4 linked regions of the Yarrowia lipolytica genome follow. The protein of the gene in region 3 purifies or fractionates together with the protein of the main gene of each other region. This does not show direct contact. Links are inferred from orthologs where the notes say so. Each region holds a gene or a part of one and is shown on either strand. Other genes may lie near its edges. The genes, in order: YALI1_D15114g, YALI1_F24401g, YALI1_E34621g and YALI1_B23176g.

Region 1 (5,320 bases), on a different chromosome or scaffold from region 3:
GAACGGTCTGCCATCGAGCCTGTTCAAAAGTACAACGTCCCGTACTCTGAGCATTCGTCTTTTGTCGAGCTACGAGCCTTCTGCTTGAACATGGCTGCCACCACCATCATTCCCACCGTGAACATGTCTGCTGACGAGAGTGTCCGCAGGCAGATGTACTGGCTGGAGATGTGGACCGGACAAGCGAGGGAAGGAGTCTGACGACTGTACATAACTATTTATTACAAGCGCTAACCATCTGACTAAGCCGCCTTGATGGTTACTATGCATGTAGCCCGAAGTGTGTGTCTGGTCTGTATTGTGTTTCATAGGCAGCATGTAAACATATATGGTGCAAGCATCCTACAGACTGTCGGTTAGACGGGCTGTTGCAACTTCAGTACTCGTATGACGCTCGCTAGTCGGTCAAAAATCAATTGACCATGAACCCTTTAGCGGCTGAGATAACCTCACCGGAATAATGACCTTGTCAAATAAACCGCCATCCAAGGTTCATAAGATGCCGGCATTATACATAATTACAACTTGCTGCAGGTTTGTTTTGACGCGTTACCCAGCAACTGATCACGATACAGTATACGTGCGAGAACTTGGGATTTCGACCCGCAGTGTTTGCAAGTGGTAGGAGCCCACACTGTATCTGTGTATTAATTTCCCCTTATTACAGCATGTTGCTCGGCAACAGTGGGGGCGGGGATAGCGAGAGCCCACACTGCTCCTAGTTGTGGTCATCGTCGTCATCAAAGACTGTAGGGCAGTTGTAACGACTATTCTTTAAGGTCGGTGGAGTTACTGTAGAAAGATAGGGATCATTTACTTGCAGTAGTTACCGGAACGATATCTGGATGGTGGTCCTTTACTTATGGCTGGTGTACGTGTACCGCATGCACAGACTTGTATGTGCTCTGGCGTATGGGCAAGTCGGCATCAGTATTTCTCAGTCCGGGGTTGGGGGATGCTAATTTGCCACCTGGAGCTGGCGACATTGCGGCGTGGGACGCGACTGAGTAAATGAGTCCCGTTTACATAGCTTTTTGTTACGCCATCCCGACCTCAGTAAGATTGCTGGGAGGAGGAGCTGGGGGCGTTGCTGGGACAACCGGGGGTGTGGGTGTGCTCAAATTTACAGCACTCTATTTGAAAATTGGCTTTTGGGTCTGTTTACGTCCCATCATTTTACCACTCCCTGTTTTAAACAGATTATATTCGATTCAGCCGTTTGCGAACGACCTTCAATTGGCCGAGGAATTCTTTTTGTGTGGACACTAGAGACCGACTTTCGACTTTCGGATATCGACAAATCACAGACTACGACGTGAGTACGACGGACGCCATGTGGTGAGGTGTTCAGATGGCCAAGGTGGCCGTTTGCGACCCGTCACGTCTCTGAGGGACGGGGCGAATAAGGGCATGTTGCGGGTGGCATATGTGGGAATTTCTGACTTGAACAATGTCGTTTTCCCGCTCAAATTGCCGGCTCTGGAGGTTGTAGCGGGACGCAACTTGTGTGGGGTATCTTGGAATTGATTTCTCCCTGGCTGGCCAAGGAGACAACTGCTGGGTTAACGGGATCGCGCTGGATAGTTGTTTTCGTGGCAGCCATCAGTTTGATTTATGACGATCTTGTCTCATTAATCGATTGATGACGTGTGTGGTTTGGTCTAGAATACCGCAAACCAGACGTGGGGTGCACGAGACAGACATCAGCGGCAGAATCGAAAACACGAGCGCACTAAATTTGCACCCGCAACGTTGCCATTGAAACGACACACACACAACCTATCTAGACCCCTACTAACCCAGATGGAAATCGCACCCATTCTTCACGACGCCTTCCAGGGCGCCACGCCTCAGGTGCGAAACGAGGCCAACTCCAAGCTGGCCGACGCATACCAAAACTACTACGGTGATGTGATGATGGCCCTCGCCAACTGCATCAGCACTCAGGATACCCAGATACCCGATGAAATCCGAGTGCTTGCTGGTATTGCCATCAAGAACAACTTGACATCCAAGGACCAGGAGGTCAAGCAGGAGCAGGCCAACAAGTGGTTGGCTGCCGATGGATCCGTTACAGATCAGATCAAGAGCATTCTGTTGGAGGTTCTGAAGAGCACTAACAACCAGGTGGCTTCAGCAGCAGCCCAGGCCGTGGCCGCCATTGCGGAGATTGATCTGCCCCAGGGACGATGGTCCAGTCTCATGACCACCCTGGTGGAGAACACCAAGGACGAGCAGCCCAGTCACATCAAGATGGCCGCTCTGCAGTCTATTGGTTTCATCTGCGAGCGAGCAGACCGAAACAATGCTGGTGTGGTTTCCCAGGCATCAGGCATTCTTACTGCCATTGTGCAGGCGGCACAGTCCAAGGAGTCGGACCAGAACGTGCGGCTCAAGGCCATTGAGGCACTGGGCGACTCTCTGGATTTCATCAGAGACAACTTTGCCCGGGACGGTGAGCGAAACTGCATCATGGTTGTCGTGTGCGAAGCCACCCAGAGCGATTCTGCCAAGCTGCGGGAAGTCAGCTACGGCACAATGTCTCGAATCATGACCAAATACTACCAGTTCATGGAACTGTACATGAAGCAGGCTCTGTTTGGCGTTACCGTCAAGGGCATGCAGGATTCCGACGACTCGGTGGCATGCATGGCTGTGGAGTTCTGGTCGTCCGTATGCGAGATTGAGGACAAGAACCAGCGGACCGGCGAGGAGTGCTTTGGCTTCGCCAAGGTGGCTGCCCCCAAGGTTCTGCCCATTCTCTTGGAGCTGCTCAACCGGCAGAACGAGTACGATGACGACGAGGACTGGAGTGTTAGCATGGCTGCTGCCGCCTGTCTGCAGCTGTTCGCGCAGACCATTGGTAACGACGTGGTGCCTCTGACTCTGCAGTTTGTCGAGCAGAACATTGGAAATACCACCAGCTGGAGAAACCGGGAGGCCGCTGTCATGGCCTTTGGTTCTATTCTGGACGGTCCTGACAACGCCCATCTGGCCGATCTCATCAAGCAGGCTCTAGAGCCCATTCTCAACCTGATGAATGACGACTCTCTGCAGGTCAAGGACACCGTGGCGTGGTGTCTGGGCCGAATCTCCGATCTGGTCATCAACGCCATTGACGAGCAAGTCCATCTGCCCGTCATCATGAATACCCTGCTCAAGGGACTGCAGGACGAGCCCAAGGTCATCACCAACTGTTGCTGGACTATCATGAACATTTTCGAGCAGCTTGGCCACGGCGGCGTCAACCAGGAGACCACCGTCGTCTCCCCCTACTACCCCCAGGTGCTGCCTGCTCTGTTGAACGCCGCTTCTCGAAACGACAACGAGAACAACGCCCGAACCGCTGCTTACGAGGCTCTGTCGACCCTTGTTGTTGTGTGTGCCAACGATTGCATTGAAGCCGTGCTTGAGCTGTCGGGCGAGGTTGTCACTCGTCTGGAGACCACTCTGGAGATGCAGCAGCAGATTGTCGGCATGGACGACCGAATCAACCTGGAGGAGCTGCAGATCAACCTGCTCGGTCTGCTGACCAACATCATCCGTCGAACTGACAAGCTGGTGCTGCCCGCATCCGACCGGCTTATGACTCTGTTCCTGAACCTGCTGCAGAACAAGCTTCCCAACTCGCTCATCGAGGAGGACGTGTTCATTGCTATTGGAGCTGTCGCCGATGCCAACGGTGAGGGCTTTATGAAGTTCATGGAGTCTCTCAACCCCTTCCTTCTGCGCGCTCTGGAAGATCCTTCTCTCATTGTGTGCAACACTGCAGTCGGTCTGGTGGCCGACGTGTCCAACGCTCTGGGCCCTGCCATTGACCAGTTCTCCGACCAGTACATGCAGCTGTTTGTCACCGATTTGCAAAACCCCAAGGCCCAACAGGTCATCAAGCCCTCGATTCTGTCGTGCTTTGGAGACATCGCGTCAAGCATTGGCCCCAAGTTTGAGCGGTACTTTTCTTTTGTCTTCCCTGTGATTGAGCAGGCGTGCCAGCTGGATGTGCCTGACCAGTACTCCGGCTATGCCGTGTCCGAGGAGTTCCTTGACTTTGTCGCCAACCTGCGTGAGCGAATCATCGACGCATTTGTCGGCATTGTCACCGGTCTTCGAGACTACCCTGCTCTGTTTGCTCCCTACGTCCCCACTCTGTTCAACTTCCTGTCCAAGGTGGCCGTGGACCCTCTGCTCGCTCCTGTGGAGTCTGTGGCTCGGTCCGTTGTGGGTATCATTGGTGATGTTGCCACCATGTATCCCGGTGGAGACTTCAAGGAGGCATACACTAAGCCATGGGTGCTGGAGTTCATTCGACGAACTCGAAGCGATCCCGAGTTCACTGACGAGACCAAGATTACCGCTCGATGGGCACGTGAGCAGCAGAAGCGACAGCTGGGCGAGAAATAGGCTGTCTGAGATGAGGGAACAAGTTTTTGCACAAAAAATAGCATGATACCGGAAAAATAGAAAACAAGCGTTTGAGTATGACTACTTTGTAGTTATAGGTTGGTGAGTATATCGCCAATATACAGTGTAGCAGGTGGCCATGATTTAGATCTACCCACCCCCCTGATTGTTTGCCTGTCTGCATCTGTAGCACGTGAAGATCTTGCTCGATAACCATGTGAAAAAAAAAAAAAAGGTACAACCATATGTATTGTAGCTGTGTGTATGTAGAATGGGGCAACTTTGTGGGGTTGTATATATATTTTAGGTTCCATCGACAGAACGAATACGGCTGGATAAGTGTGTGATATATGTTTGTAGTTGCAACTTGTCCAAGAATCGACTTGCCAGGCCGGGTTGTGCTGTCATCAGTGTTTCATCTACTGTAGTCGACAGCGGTACTAAAAGCGGGTTAGACTCAACTAATTCAGTTAGCTTTAGTCACTACGTTTACCCCACACCAAGGCCCAAAGGCCTAAAGGCCAAAAGAGAGCCATGTGGGTTTGGCAAATCTAGTTTGAGGACACCCATGCGCCGCCAAACTCTCCAACCAATAGAGAAGGGAGTAATGTCAGAATGGGTTTATATACAGGGCAAGCTTATGAGACGGAGGCTTCAACACGGCATAGACGAGGCATGTTCGTGGAGCGGACTCCTGCGCCAATGTGCCAGTTCTCGACACCGCTCTGTGCTGTGCGGAGGCGAGAGTCGTGCTTATAAGTGTTTTGATTTGCTCTGATACTAGTTGTGCTCGTTCCTGGGCACCATGTGGTGGATCGATCCATGTGTGGGTCTTTTAGCCCTTGAAAGGATGTGAGATTATGTATAATACTGGAGGAGGTGGAGGAGCCGCAGTGATGGGCGGATGTTGGGCTGCTAT
Region 2 (4,653 bases), on a different chromosome or scaffold from region 3:
ATCTGTAGACACTTAGAAGTTCCCTGCCTTCTTTTCTTTCAACAATGCGCGTCACGATCCATCCCAGTTCCCTCATTTTGACAGCCACTTGTTCTGGCTTGTTGCTTGCACAGAACAAAATGTAGGCGATTCCGTTCTTTGACAGTATGGTCTTCAGTTCTAGTAGCACCTTCCAAGTCACCTGCATTCCGTCTTCACCTCCAAGAAGTGCCCAATCGACCCAGTCACCATCTGTCTCCGGGTAGGGTTCTACGGGCTTGTCGTCTGGCACATATGGAGGGTTGAAGACCAGTAGATCGATGGTATGAGGTCTCATCATTGTGGTACGTTCTCCACGAAGCGCCTCGAGGTACTGGGTGCCGTTGTTTTCTTTTGACGTGGCCAGAACCTGGTTGCATGCAAAGGGGCTGATATCTGTAGCCAAAAAAACGCCTTTGGGCACCACGGATTTCAGCATGAAGGTGGTGACGATGCCTGATCCGGTTCCGATCTCTGTCACCACAGGGTATGACAGATGGCTGTTGATGTAGCTCTGTTCCATTTCCAGCACGTCCAGGAGCATGAAGGAGTCTTCGCTGGGCTCGTAGACCTCTTCATAGTTGGCTGATGACGTGGAAGGTGTTGGAAACGACATTTCTGGGTGGTGTCTAGACTACGATATTCTTTGGTGGTTGTGCATGCCAAAATATATATTCGCATGCAACTTAAACTCGTTCCAGCTGCAACTCAACCTCAACCACTATACAAGCCACGCAACATGAAGATCAAGATCAAGGTGAGTATGATTTGGGGAGACCGCGGGGTACATGATTGGGGACTCGAAAGAACTCATTGTGCGCATCCTCCCCGCAGATTCGTGCTTGCGGTGCGCTAACTTGGAAATGCTAACACAGACACTCATTGGAAAGGAGGTGAGTCCTGAACCACGATATACACCCAGCAGTAACATTCCTAGATGAAATGACATTTGGAACACTGTTGCGGCCAGTGTGTGACGACGAAGCTAACACAGATTGAGATGGACGTTGAGCCCGAAGATCAGGTGAGTATGAAGAGATGGAGGGACTGGGGGGACTGTTGCGAAGTGGTCACGCGTGCGTGCCACGATGAAGTTGGCATGAATGAGACACGATAAGGGGAAAAAGTCATGGGAAAGTGCTGTTCTCTATCACGATCCTACAAATGCAAGGTTCACTTACGGACCTGTTCGCACCTATCCCGTCACCACTCAAACAGGACTAACTCAGATCTCCGTTCTCAAGGAGAAGATCGAGGAACTCGAGGGTATTCCTCCCGCCCAGCAGCGTCTCGTTTTCACCGGAAAGCAGCTCCAGGACGAGAAGACCATTGCGGAGAACAAGATTGAAGCTGGAGCCTCTCTGCATCTGGTCCTGGCCCTTCGAGGCGGCAACTAATGTATTGATAATTGACTGATTAGAGGATGTGGGATGGGGCAGCGTGAACTACGTGCTACTGGATGAACATATGTGGAATTAGGTATAGATGTGAATAGGTAGTAGCTACTTGTAATACTTGTAGTCTTTTTGGTTGCCATACAACTAGCTACTGTAGCTACAGTATGTTCTGTAAGTACGTAGTTACATACAATACTTGTTCCTGTATTGTGGCGCCAGTATCGATATAAAGATAGAATAGACCGACAAAACAGACGGGAAAACAAATGTATCTCTTAGCATTAGGTGTTGGAGGTAGTACTTGTCTATATGTCTATATATACTGATTTCCACAAGTCAAGATGCGTTCACACTGTTCCGCTCATCTCATGTTGACTCGACGAAGCTTAGTTATCACTGCAAATAAAACCTTCGCAGAATCATCACCAAAAAATATTGACGCCATATACGACCTCGAAACACCACACCGGTATGGAAGGAAGGGTGAAAAACAAAGCGCCCGCCGCGTTGCAGATTTCTGCAGAGCAGATTTTGCTGGAGGCATATGAGCGAAAGGAGACGCCTCTTCAGCAGACAGAGCAGATTGCCGATCTGGAAGAGCTGGCAGAGTACCAAGGCCGCAAACGACAGGAGTATGAGGGAGCCTTGCGACGAAATCGACTGAACACCGGCCAGTGGATGCGGTACGCGCAGTGGGAGCTGGAGCAACGGGAGTTTGCACGTGCCAGATCTGTATTTGAACGAGCTCTCGAGGTCAACCCAACGCATGTGCCCACCTGGATCCGATACATTCAGTGCGAGCTCAAGGAGAAGAACATCAACCACGCACGAAACCTGCTGGACAGAGCCGTCACACTCCTGCCGCGTGTCGACAAGCTGTGGTTCACATACGTGGCTACAGAGGAGACGCTGGGCAACATTGCCGGCTGCAGAGCCGTGTTTGAGAGATGGATGCATTGGAGGCCGCCGGTGACCGCCTGGGCAGCTTACGTGAACATGGAGAAGCGATATCGTGAGTTTGACCGTGCGCGGGGCATTCTGAGACGATATGTCACTGTTCATCCAGGTGCACCAGCATGGAACAAATGGGCCAAGTTTGAGATGGAGGCAGGAAACAGAGACACCGTCAGGGAGGTGTATGCTCTGGGAATCGACACATTGGTGGAAATGGCGCATGGAGGCGTGGACTTTCTGGATGAGAGTCTGCTGGCTGGATGGGCGAGTTTTGAGACTCGTCATAGGGAGTACGAAAGAGCAAGAGCTCTGTACACTTATGGACTCGAGAAGCTGCCCAAAAGCAAGTCTGCAAAGCTGTATGCTGACTACACGGCCTTTGAGAAACAGTATGGAGCCAAGGAGGGTATTGAGAATGTGGTTCTCACTAAAAGACGATCCAAGTACGAGGATCAGTTGAAGGAGGACCCTGCAGACTACGATACGTGGTTCTCTTACATCACTCTAGGTCAGGAAAGTGGTCTTGAGGCCGATCAGATTCGTGAGATCTTTGAACGTGCTGTTTCTAACGTTCCCCCACATTCCAAGCGTCTTTGGAGACGGTACATCTTTCTGTGGATCAAGTATGCCATCTGGGAGGAGCTTGAGAACAAGGAGGTTGAAAAGGCCGGTGAAATCTACAAAACATGCATATCTATCATCCCACACAAAAAGTTCACATTCGCCAAAGTGTGGTTACTATGGGCCAAGTTTGAGATTCGACATGGCAATCTGCCAGAGGCTCGTAAGATCCTAGGCCGAGGACTGGGCATGTCGGGGGGCAAACCTGCGCTGTACAAGGGATACATTGCTCTGGAGGCCAAACTGCGTGAGTTTGACCGGTGTCGAAAGCTCTACGACAAGTATGTGGAGAAATTTGCCGAGTTTGCTGCTCCGTGGATGGAGTATGCGGAGCTGGAGCAGATGCTTGGTGACGAGGAGCGAGCTCGTGCTATTTTTGAGCTAGCTGTGTCGCAGCCCGAGATGGAGATGCCTGAACTTGTGTGGAAACGGTTTATTGAGTTCGAGGCTGAAGAGGAGAACTACGACCGAGCACGAGCCATCTACCGACAGCTTCTTGATCGAACCCACGGTCACATCAAGGTGTGGATCTCGTTTGCCCAGTTTGAGGTCACTGTTCCTGCTGAAGACCAGGAGCTGCAATACAACGACGAGGGAGAGGCCGAGATTGAGGTCACTGAAGAAGCAAAGGCACGCGCACGAAGTATCTTTGGCGAGGCCTGGGACGCTCTCAAGGCCGCCAACAAGCGAGAGGAGCGAGTGGTTCTGTTTGAATCATGGCGTGAGTTTGAAGAGGAGCATGGAGATGACAAGTCTAAGGCGGATTTGGACAAGCGAAAGCCCACTCCTGTCAAGAAGAAGCGAAAGCTGGAGGATGGCACCTTCGAGGAGTACATCGACTACGTCTTCCCCACCGACGAGGAGGACAAGTCGTTCTCCAAGCTCCTGGAGAATGCTCGAAAATGGAAGCTTCAGAATCAGTCTTGACTGTGGGAGCCAACTATGTATTTATCTGTATATGTATAATAGAATCGTTGTATAACACTAGCTGCGATCCCTTATTCATGTTACTCCACCCTGCGCCACTATCACCAAGCTATCACCAAGCTACAAGTACAGCATTGTGTGTACAGGATGTACCAAAGACACTCGCTCTTCAGAATTACTGCTAAATAAGGTTTGAAAAGATTGCAGTAAAATATATATATATATTATAATATAAAAAACTTATCAAAATTTTTTGTACAAAATACAAGCCTACGGACAAAATGATATACGAGTCTAAGATCCAAATCCATTAGTATACATGTTAGTAGTTTTTTTATTTTGGGGGCCCGATAACTCCGGGAGGAGGAGGCGGGGGATGACGAATGGGCTGGTCTCCATCCATTCCAGGCACCCCAGGAGGAGGAGGGGGAGGAGGAACTTTAGAAAGACCAGGAGGTCCGGGAGGCACAGACATGCCGGGCACACCAGCAGGAGCGCCACCGTAACCACCAAAGCCAGAAGACGACATACCAGGGGGCCCGATGGGAGACTGGTTGTTATTAAACATAGACTGGTGGTGCACGGGGGGCTGGTGCTGATGCTGGTGCTGACGGGTGTCGCGATTCCACGGCGACTGCTGCATCGACTGCTGAACAGATACCTTGTCGTGCTTTTTGTAGTTGTCACGTCGCAGCCACGGGGGAGCAGCAGGCTGCGAGGGAGGTGTGGGTCTGTG
Region 3 (3,497 bases):
ACAGACCCTTTCCTCAGATGCCCCTTCAGAGAAGGCACTCTTTGGGATAACTTGGCCCCGTGTAGGTATGCGGCTGCATTCCTGTTGTTCTCGCACCGTATTTTATCGCCGTGGAGATGAAATCCACGAACATTAGTCCACGCTCGGCTCCGCTAATACATGCCCCCAATCACAAAGACAGTTGGATATAAATAATATTTTAAACTGTGTACATATCTGGCAAGGTACAAACTGACAGATTTGACATATCAATTGCGAGTTTGGTTGACATTGACGTGTTGACACCTTAGTGTAGTTCCTTCTCAGTTGACACCTATCATCTGTCAGCTTCCAATTAACGAAATGTAATCCTACCATTAAGAACCTGTCATCAGAAACCTGTCACCAATAAGCTGTCATCATAAACAAACAAACAATCAACCTATCGGTGTCAAAGCGCGTCCCAAACACCCACGTGCAATACACGCATCTGGATTGTTTCCCGTCGATCCCAACCTGTCCGATCCATGTAATCCTATTATTCAACAAAACCCACAATATCTACTGGTGAATTACCAGAGGGTTTTCTTTTTGGGCTGACTATCGGTTTAGTCTCAGTAATCATCTCCTCCTCGCTCATCATCTCCCCATCGCTTTCCAAATCCTCCTCGACCGGAATCATAGTCCTGTCGGAACTCATCTCGCACCTGGCCTCCGGAGGAGCCCCGGCCAAATTGTCGTCCCTCCTTGAAGCCAGGATCCAGATCAATGGTAATGATTCGCTCGTCAAGCTTGGTCTTATGCAGGTATTTGAGGCAGGCGACAGCGTCGTCGTGCTCGTAGTATTCCACGAAGCAGAATCCACAAGGAGTCTTTTGGTATCGGTCGAGACCCATGATGATCTTCTTCACCTTTGCAATTCTGTGTTAGTATAGGCCGGGGAGATATGCCATAATGCTTTGAACTCGGGAGATTCCAGTTGAGAAGTGATTCCAAGAAAAGCGACATAGCAATCCGAAATTAATATTCCAGTTTCTAGATAGCTGCCTCAGAAAACAATTCAACAGTCAATCTACATGTCGATCGAAGTCCTCGAGTCGTAGAGTGGTTGAATTGGTCTTGAAGACGTCAGTCTAACATCCCCGAAGTCCCTGATTCTTCAGATCCTCTCCTGTGCTTCTAAATCCACACATGGGAAACAATTGGGAGCGTTACTCACTTGGTGAACAACTCGTGGATCTGCTCCTCTGTTGTGAAGAATGAGAGGTTACCGACATAGAGAGTGGTTGTGACATCCAGAGCAGCGAGATCCTCCTCACCCTGTCGAGATCTTCGCGCTTGTCGCAAGACATAAGAAGAGGGGCCGTCGAGTCGCTGAGCCGAGTTGATGGGCTTGGCTGTGAACAGATCCGCGGGTTCAGACATGGTGTGTAATTAGTGTGAAACGAGATACTTTGGTGCTGAGCCGAAAAAGTGTAGATTTCGACGTGCATAAAATATCAGTACAAGTACCCCCACAGTACGTGTGTTCGATTCACCAGTGGGTCGTAAAATTAGGTATAATTCTAGAAACCTTAAACTTTTGTATTACTAAAACACCCGACGGTAGGCGGCATACAATTAATTTCTTTTTACACAAGCTAGATCCTTCCACTGGTACGTACCGTGTACATATAGAGTACTTGTAGCGCCAAAAAGAAGCATTGTAATTATAGGAATAGGCCTTAAATCACCCTAATCCCCGTTTTTTTTCACAGGCATGTCAAACTTTTGGGAGTATAATATATGTGAATGTGTGAGTTAATGAGTGAAGGAGATGGGCGGTGAGTGAGTGTGTGTGTACAATACATTTCGCTCTTGGCGAACAAAACTGTGTATGTATGTATACAGCTGACGTTTTTGGTGCCAATATTGCGCACTAAAGTCGAGCTACTTGAGGGATGTTACATACTTACACTGTAGCTTCTTGAACAATAGGATCTCTCTTGTCTATATCAAGATGACATCAGATAATGTGGAAAAGCAACCATCGATAGCAAAGGAAGGCTTACCCTTGTTCTTGTCGTGTGCCGCAGGGTATTTTCGTCGGTCTCCGAACAGACTGCTGAGATGTACGTGTTCTTCGGTTCATTAGGTTGTGCATCCTTTTCTGCATTAATATTTTATACCTTACACGAACACTATCGAAGTATGCAACCGCATGGAATTCAGCGTGTGCCTGTGCCTGGGGGAGAGAGAAGATGAAATACAGTGGAGAAGGTGTAGGGGAATCCGGAGAAGCCCATTGTTGTGACCTTAGAAAATCCACAGCTTCAATATGCCACGATACGGGAAGCTATGATTACATGTCCCGAAATGTATACAGGACATGAAATGTAATTCATTCATTTAGGACCCTTTTGCCATGGATGGTCAGTAGGGTAACACATTTTAACGAGAACAAGGTAGTTTACAAAGTTTGCAGATTAGTCGCTCCCCATTAGCAAGGTTGAAAAAATTAGCTAGAATCCAGACACGCAGGGAGCGAAGATAACAAACCCCACAAGGCTGAAAAAGAGATATGAATGGTCAGGCCAGGTAGGCTGTGTAAGAGTCTCAAGCAACGTCGCTCGTACTCCAGGTACCAGGTCACGTGGCTTTTCTTGTAGTTATAGTGCCCACCCTCTGGGCTGCATATTCATGTCCTCTTCCCCACTCTTTTGATACTAGACTTTTCGGCTTTGCCGAACCGGATAACCTCCAGGTTTAGGGCTACATGTAAGACCGAATATCTATCCGCCAAAAGAGAGCACGCACCACAGCTGTGGGATTCCGTTATTTTCATGAGCGTTGTCTGTCGGTTCCCAGGGGTGGGTTTGCTGTCAAACAATACAGTAGACTGGTGAAAAAGATTGACCCTATAGCAGTCTGGGGTACGAGACTTATGACATTCATGGAATGTGGAGAAATGCCAAGACGCTGGGACACGGCAATCTGCGACATTGCCCGTGGAGAGACGACGAGCTTACTCGCAGCTGAATAACAGTGCGTTATCTGGTGGCGAGGGTTGCCAGTTGTGCGCGTTACCGTCGTTTTCTATATTGTCAAAACGAAAAAGAGATATGCGAATGGTTATGGTTTTTTCTACAGACCAATGATAATTCCTAATGAAAGACGTCACATCTTGTGTTTTCTTAATGAAGTGTATTAGACAGGGGCTAACGGATCTAAAAATGGTGAGAAATTTAAACTTGCAAGTGTTTGCGAGACCAGACCAGCTAGTCGGACTGTTTACTTGTCTGTCTCCCCGCAAACAAAAATACATCCAGGTCTTTCTTCATGATTAATTAGGGCCATTTATGAGTAACTTGTGCTTTCTCTGTTTGACCAATCTAAAGTTCAATACGTTGGTAGCTAAAATAGAGTTTCAGTGCTGCGCTACATTAAGCTTCCAGCGTGGCGTAAAAAGGACACGGACTCATCTCCATCTTGTTCTCTTACTCCTCGACACCACTATCGCCTCCAGGACATTGAATCCC
Region 4 (3,495 bases), on a different chromosome or scaffold from region 3:
TCACTGCGTTCTACTACACGTCTCTTCAGGCTGGCTTCCTGGCACTTCCTGGATTAGTAGATGGGCAGCTGGTTGTATACAGATACTCACAGCAGTTTCTGCTGACGCATTTTGGTGAGCAAGTTGACGTTCAGGTCATGATGACTAAGATTAATTGTCTGGTTGATGCCCCCGAGTCGATGCTGTTGCCCCATGTACCTCAGACGAGGGTTCCAGCTAGGTCCAGAGCCGTTAATAGGCACAAGACGCGCCGAAGAGTGGTGGTATAAAGAGGAGGAGGCTTATTTATATATATTTATTGTCCCGAGTAATGAGATATGATTTATGAGTTCGGTGGTGGTTGAAAGGGCTTTCAAGATGAAACTGTAGATGAGGGGGGTGATAACTGGTGCTGTTCTTACTAGGCTGATCTAGTTAACTACCTGTACACCTCCTGTACACACAACTGTGGAGAGTTCTTACCGCTGACTATGTTGCCATGCTACAGAATGCACCGTGTGTACTGCAGTACTTGCAACTTCTACAGATGTATAATACTCGTAGCCTCAAATACTTCATAATGTATTATACAATGCGTTGATGCAATATATCCTCCGTCTTCTACTTTCTGACAATTCCCTTCATGCGTTTCTTCATCTTGACAACAGGCTTGGATACCTTCTTCACCGAGGCATCCACCTTTGCCACCTCCACTCTCTTGATCTTCTCACCTTGCGCGTTCCTAAACACCTCCTTAGCCATCTCATCATCACGCAAATCCTGTTCAGATACGCCACTTTCCTTGTCATCTCTCTTTCTCAGCTCTTCCAGCACATCCACATCTCGTCCAATCTTGTTAAGACGAGCAGTACGTTCCTTGAGCTCTTCGAGCCGTTCAATTCCCTCCTGCTCATCAATGTTGGCCTTCTGCCTTGCCTCTATCTCTGCCATGACGTCTCCATCTGTAGAAACTGCGGTTCCTAGCTTTGACGGATCAGGCATAGCCTTTCCCTGTTTCTTGAGCTCCTCCAGCTCCTTCTCTTCCTTTTCCAGCCGGTCCAGCCGCTCGTCCAGAGTCTCCTCCACCTTCTTTTCGTCTCTCCAGGGTTCGTAGTTTCGTACAGCTCCATACTCGGTCTGATAGTCTGAGTTCTTGGGGTCAGTCTTGAATCTGATCTCACCTGAACATCTAGGACATCGGATAAAGAAGCGAATGATCTTCACGTCAAGATACACCTCGTCAGTCACCTGTTTGCGAGCGTTGAACTTTTTGCTCTTATAAATATATTCTCCACAGGCGGTACATCGCATGGAGAAAGGCACCATGAGCCGTACAGTGGGCATGGTGGCCGATTTGGAGTCAGACACTTTCTTAGCACGCCGCTCCAGCTTGCTGGGATCAAAGTCGGGCGGATAGTATTTGTTTATTCCTTTTCGATCCGACATTTTGTGCTGATGATGATGTGATGAAGGGTAAAAGAGCCTGCTGATTTTCTGTACGAGTATGTACAGAAACTTTATCAGAAACCTGTCAAGGAGAGAGTACGATCCGATGTGCGTCTCAAGGGGGTGTGTCGGAGAGACCGCGGAGGTGTGTAACTTGAGCTGAGGGTATCAACAATGAAAAAAAACTTAGCTGGAAACTCTTTTGAGCTGATCCGTGTAGTATTGAGTGACTACAAGTAGAAAGGTGATGTTGAATCTCACCCTCATATACTTAACTGGTTGTCCCACTTACTACTTGACCTCACTAAGTTATTCATATTTTTACTTCATTTACAGTAGTCTTCGTAGCTCTCCCAAATGATAGCTAAGTACAGCAGCACAACCCGGCCACTAAAACGAGAGTCCGAGAACATCCCAATTTGGCGTCACGTGATCTTTCCCTACACCATGTATAGAGCGGATCGCGGAACTCAAAAAGCGGTTCCTTGGCGTGACAAACATGGCACCGCCGCTATTGTGCGAGTAATGGAGTGTACTGTATGTACCAGTATCGTACACTTCTATAGGCGGTTGTCTTGGCTAACACGTGTGACGCTAGAACTAATTGGAATGGGGATTGCGACGTGTTTACGATGTGGTTTTGGCGTGTATTATGGGCTTACAAGACAAGGCACTTTTTCGCGAGGCTCATTTATGCCGGGTTGAGTGTTTTGAAATTGATCGTATTTTCCTCGATTTTCTCTTGAATTTCCGCCACCTCCACCTCTCTGAGATACAGTAGGGTGGTACAGATGCTCACATACGCTTAATTGAGTTGTCGCTAATATAGCTTAAAGAGGGATAGTTTTCTGAGAATATTTCCAATAAATCGAATAAAAACGCTAGCGGAAAATCAAGACAATGGAAGGGTTGGATTCTTTTCTCTCTACAATTTCAAAATCAATAATTTTCCTGCCAAGATACAGGAGCCGCAATTTCAGCACTCGTACAAACGTCCGCATAGATTTACCTATTTGGTAACCTTTTTTTTTTTCTCTTGGGGGAGGGGGACGACAGAAAAACGTACACCGCCCCATGTGGTCAGCCCCTATTATACACCCGGTTACAGGTTTTACAGTGGCAGCTTTTTTTTTTAACGTGCTGGCCGTTACTACCGGGTGATGATGCGTACTAGTAATGTTCTTTTGCTGCCGTACAGGCTGGGCGACTGCTTGCGTCGCGGGTCTCGCTTATTAATCGACACGTGCAAGAGCTGATGCCCTGTCTCTCGCACATGGCTTAATCAGTCCTCTCTCCCCCACCAATATAGGCCCTTCAAATGCCTCAGTGTGCACTTGCTTTGGAAACGCAAAGGTGCTAAATTCAAAAAGAAGGTTGTTCTTGGAGGATTTGCGCAGCGTCAGAAGAGATGGCCTCTTGTTTGAGAGCCACCAGCAGCCGCGAAACCATCATTTATGCAGCTGGCACAGATACGAACATGATCAAAATGTAAGAGGTACGGCTGAGGGGAGTGGTGCCAAAAGTACAGGTTAGCTGGTTAGCAGCTATTGTACGTATGGGTCTTTTAGACTACTTCAGCCGTGTATGAGGGCACTAGAAGGAGAAGGAGAGAAGCATTAGTTTGGGCGGCATGAGTGGCCCCTTCACACATTAGCGACAATAGATGGATACCATATACGACGAGTGCAAGTACTACTCTTACTACCATAGTCTCGTCGACCAATCTGGGGGGTTGGAAGTCTATTGCTTATGTGCATTCAGAACAACAAGGAGCTTGTGTGTGAATCGGATGCCTCTTGTCTGGAGTGTGTCGTCGCTGTCAAAGCAACATGTGGGACGTGCCAAGGAGTAATTACGACTTGAAAGGGGTCGATAAAAGGAATGGAAAGGGAGTTATTTTTTCACCAAGCGAGGTCTTGGTTTTAGCGACCCGTGAAGTTGGTCCACTAGCAGGCTCTGGTGGTGTACCTCATCCAGAGTCTGTTTGGTGACCACCTCCCCCATTCAAGGTTCAAGAGTTGCACGAAAAAAAGCTTTGGCCAAGCTCTTCAGTATTAATAGCTGCATATA

The links.
Region 1: the proteins of YALI1_E34621g (region 3) and YALI1_D15114g purify together in Saccharomyces cerevisiae (affinity purification with mass spectrometry, with the first as the bait; 5 studies listed by BioGRID). This does not show direct contact. The link is inferred for Yarrowia lipolytica from reciprocal best matches to the Saccharomyces cerevisiae genes CBC2 and KAP95.
Region 2: the proteins of YALI1_E34621g (region 3) and YALI1_F24401g purify together in Saccharomyces cerevisiae (affinity purification with mass spectrometry; 3 studies listed by BioGRID). This does not show direct contact. The link is inferred for Yarrowia lipolytica from reciprocal best matches to the Saccharomyces cerevisiae genes CBC2 and CLF1.
Region 4: the proteins of YALI1_E34621g (region 3) and YALI1_B23176g purify together in Saccharomyces cerevisiae (affinity purification with mass spectrometry; 3 studies listed by BioGRID). This does not show direct contact. The link is inferred for Yarrowia lipolytica from reciprocal best matches to the Saccharomyces cerevisiae genes CBC2 and YJU2.

What each region holds. Positions count from the first base shown.
Region 1 is NC_090773.1:1,507,977-1,513,296, reverse strand, and holds YALI1_D15114g (uncharacterized protein), read left to right. Parts: upstream 1-1,803; coding exon 1,804-4,401; downstream 4,402-5,320. Other genes in the region: YALI1_D15149g (uncharacterized protein), read left to right, coding at 1-201. UniProt on the Saccharomyces cerevisiae protein: Importin beta subunit that functions in nuclear protein import through association with the importin alpha subunit, which binds to the classical nuclear localization signal (cNLS) in cargo substrates.
Region 2 is NC_090775.1:2,437,343-2,441,995, reverse strand, and holds YALI1_F24401g (uncharacterized protein), read left to right. Parts: upstream 1-1,886; coding exon 1,887-3,917; downstream 3,918-4,653. Other genes in the region: YALI1_F24413g (uncharacterized protein), read right to left, coding at 1-634; YALI1_F24408g (uncharacterized protein), read left to right, coding at 1,122-1,415; YALI1_F24359g (uncharacterized protein), read right to left, coding at 4,252-4,653. UniProt on the Saccharomyces cerevisiae protein: Involved in pre-mRNA splicing and cell cycle progression. Required for the spliceosome assembly by promoting the functional integration of the U4/U6.U5 tri-snRNP particle into the U1-, U2-dependent pre-spliceosome.
Region 3 is NC_090774.1:3,461,270-3,464,766, forward strand, and holds YALI1_E34621g (uncharacterized protein), read right to left. Parts: upstream 1,405-3,497; coding exon 1,199-1,404; intron 901-1,198; coding exon 594-900; downstream 1-593.
Region 4 is NC_090771.1:2,315,536-2,319,030, reverse strand, and holds YALI1_B23176g (uncharacterized protein), read right to left. Parts: upstream 1,426-3,495; coding exon 601-1,425; downstream 1-600. Other genes in the region: YALI1_B23201g (uncharacterized protein), read left to right, coding at 1-269. UniProt on the Saccharomyces cerevisiae protein: Part of the spliceosome which catalyzes two sequential transesterification reactions, first the excision of the non-coding intron from pre-mRNA and then the ligation of the coding exons to form the mature mRNA.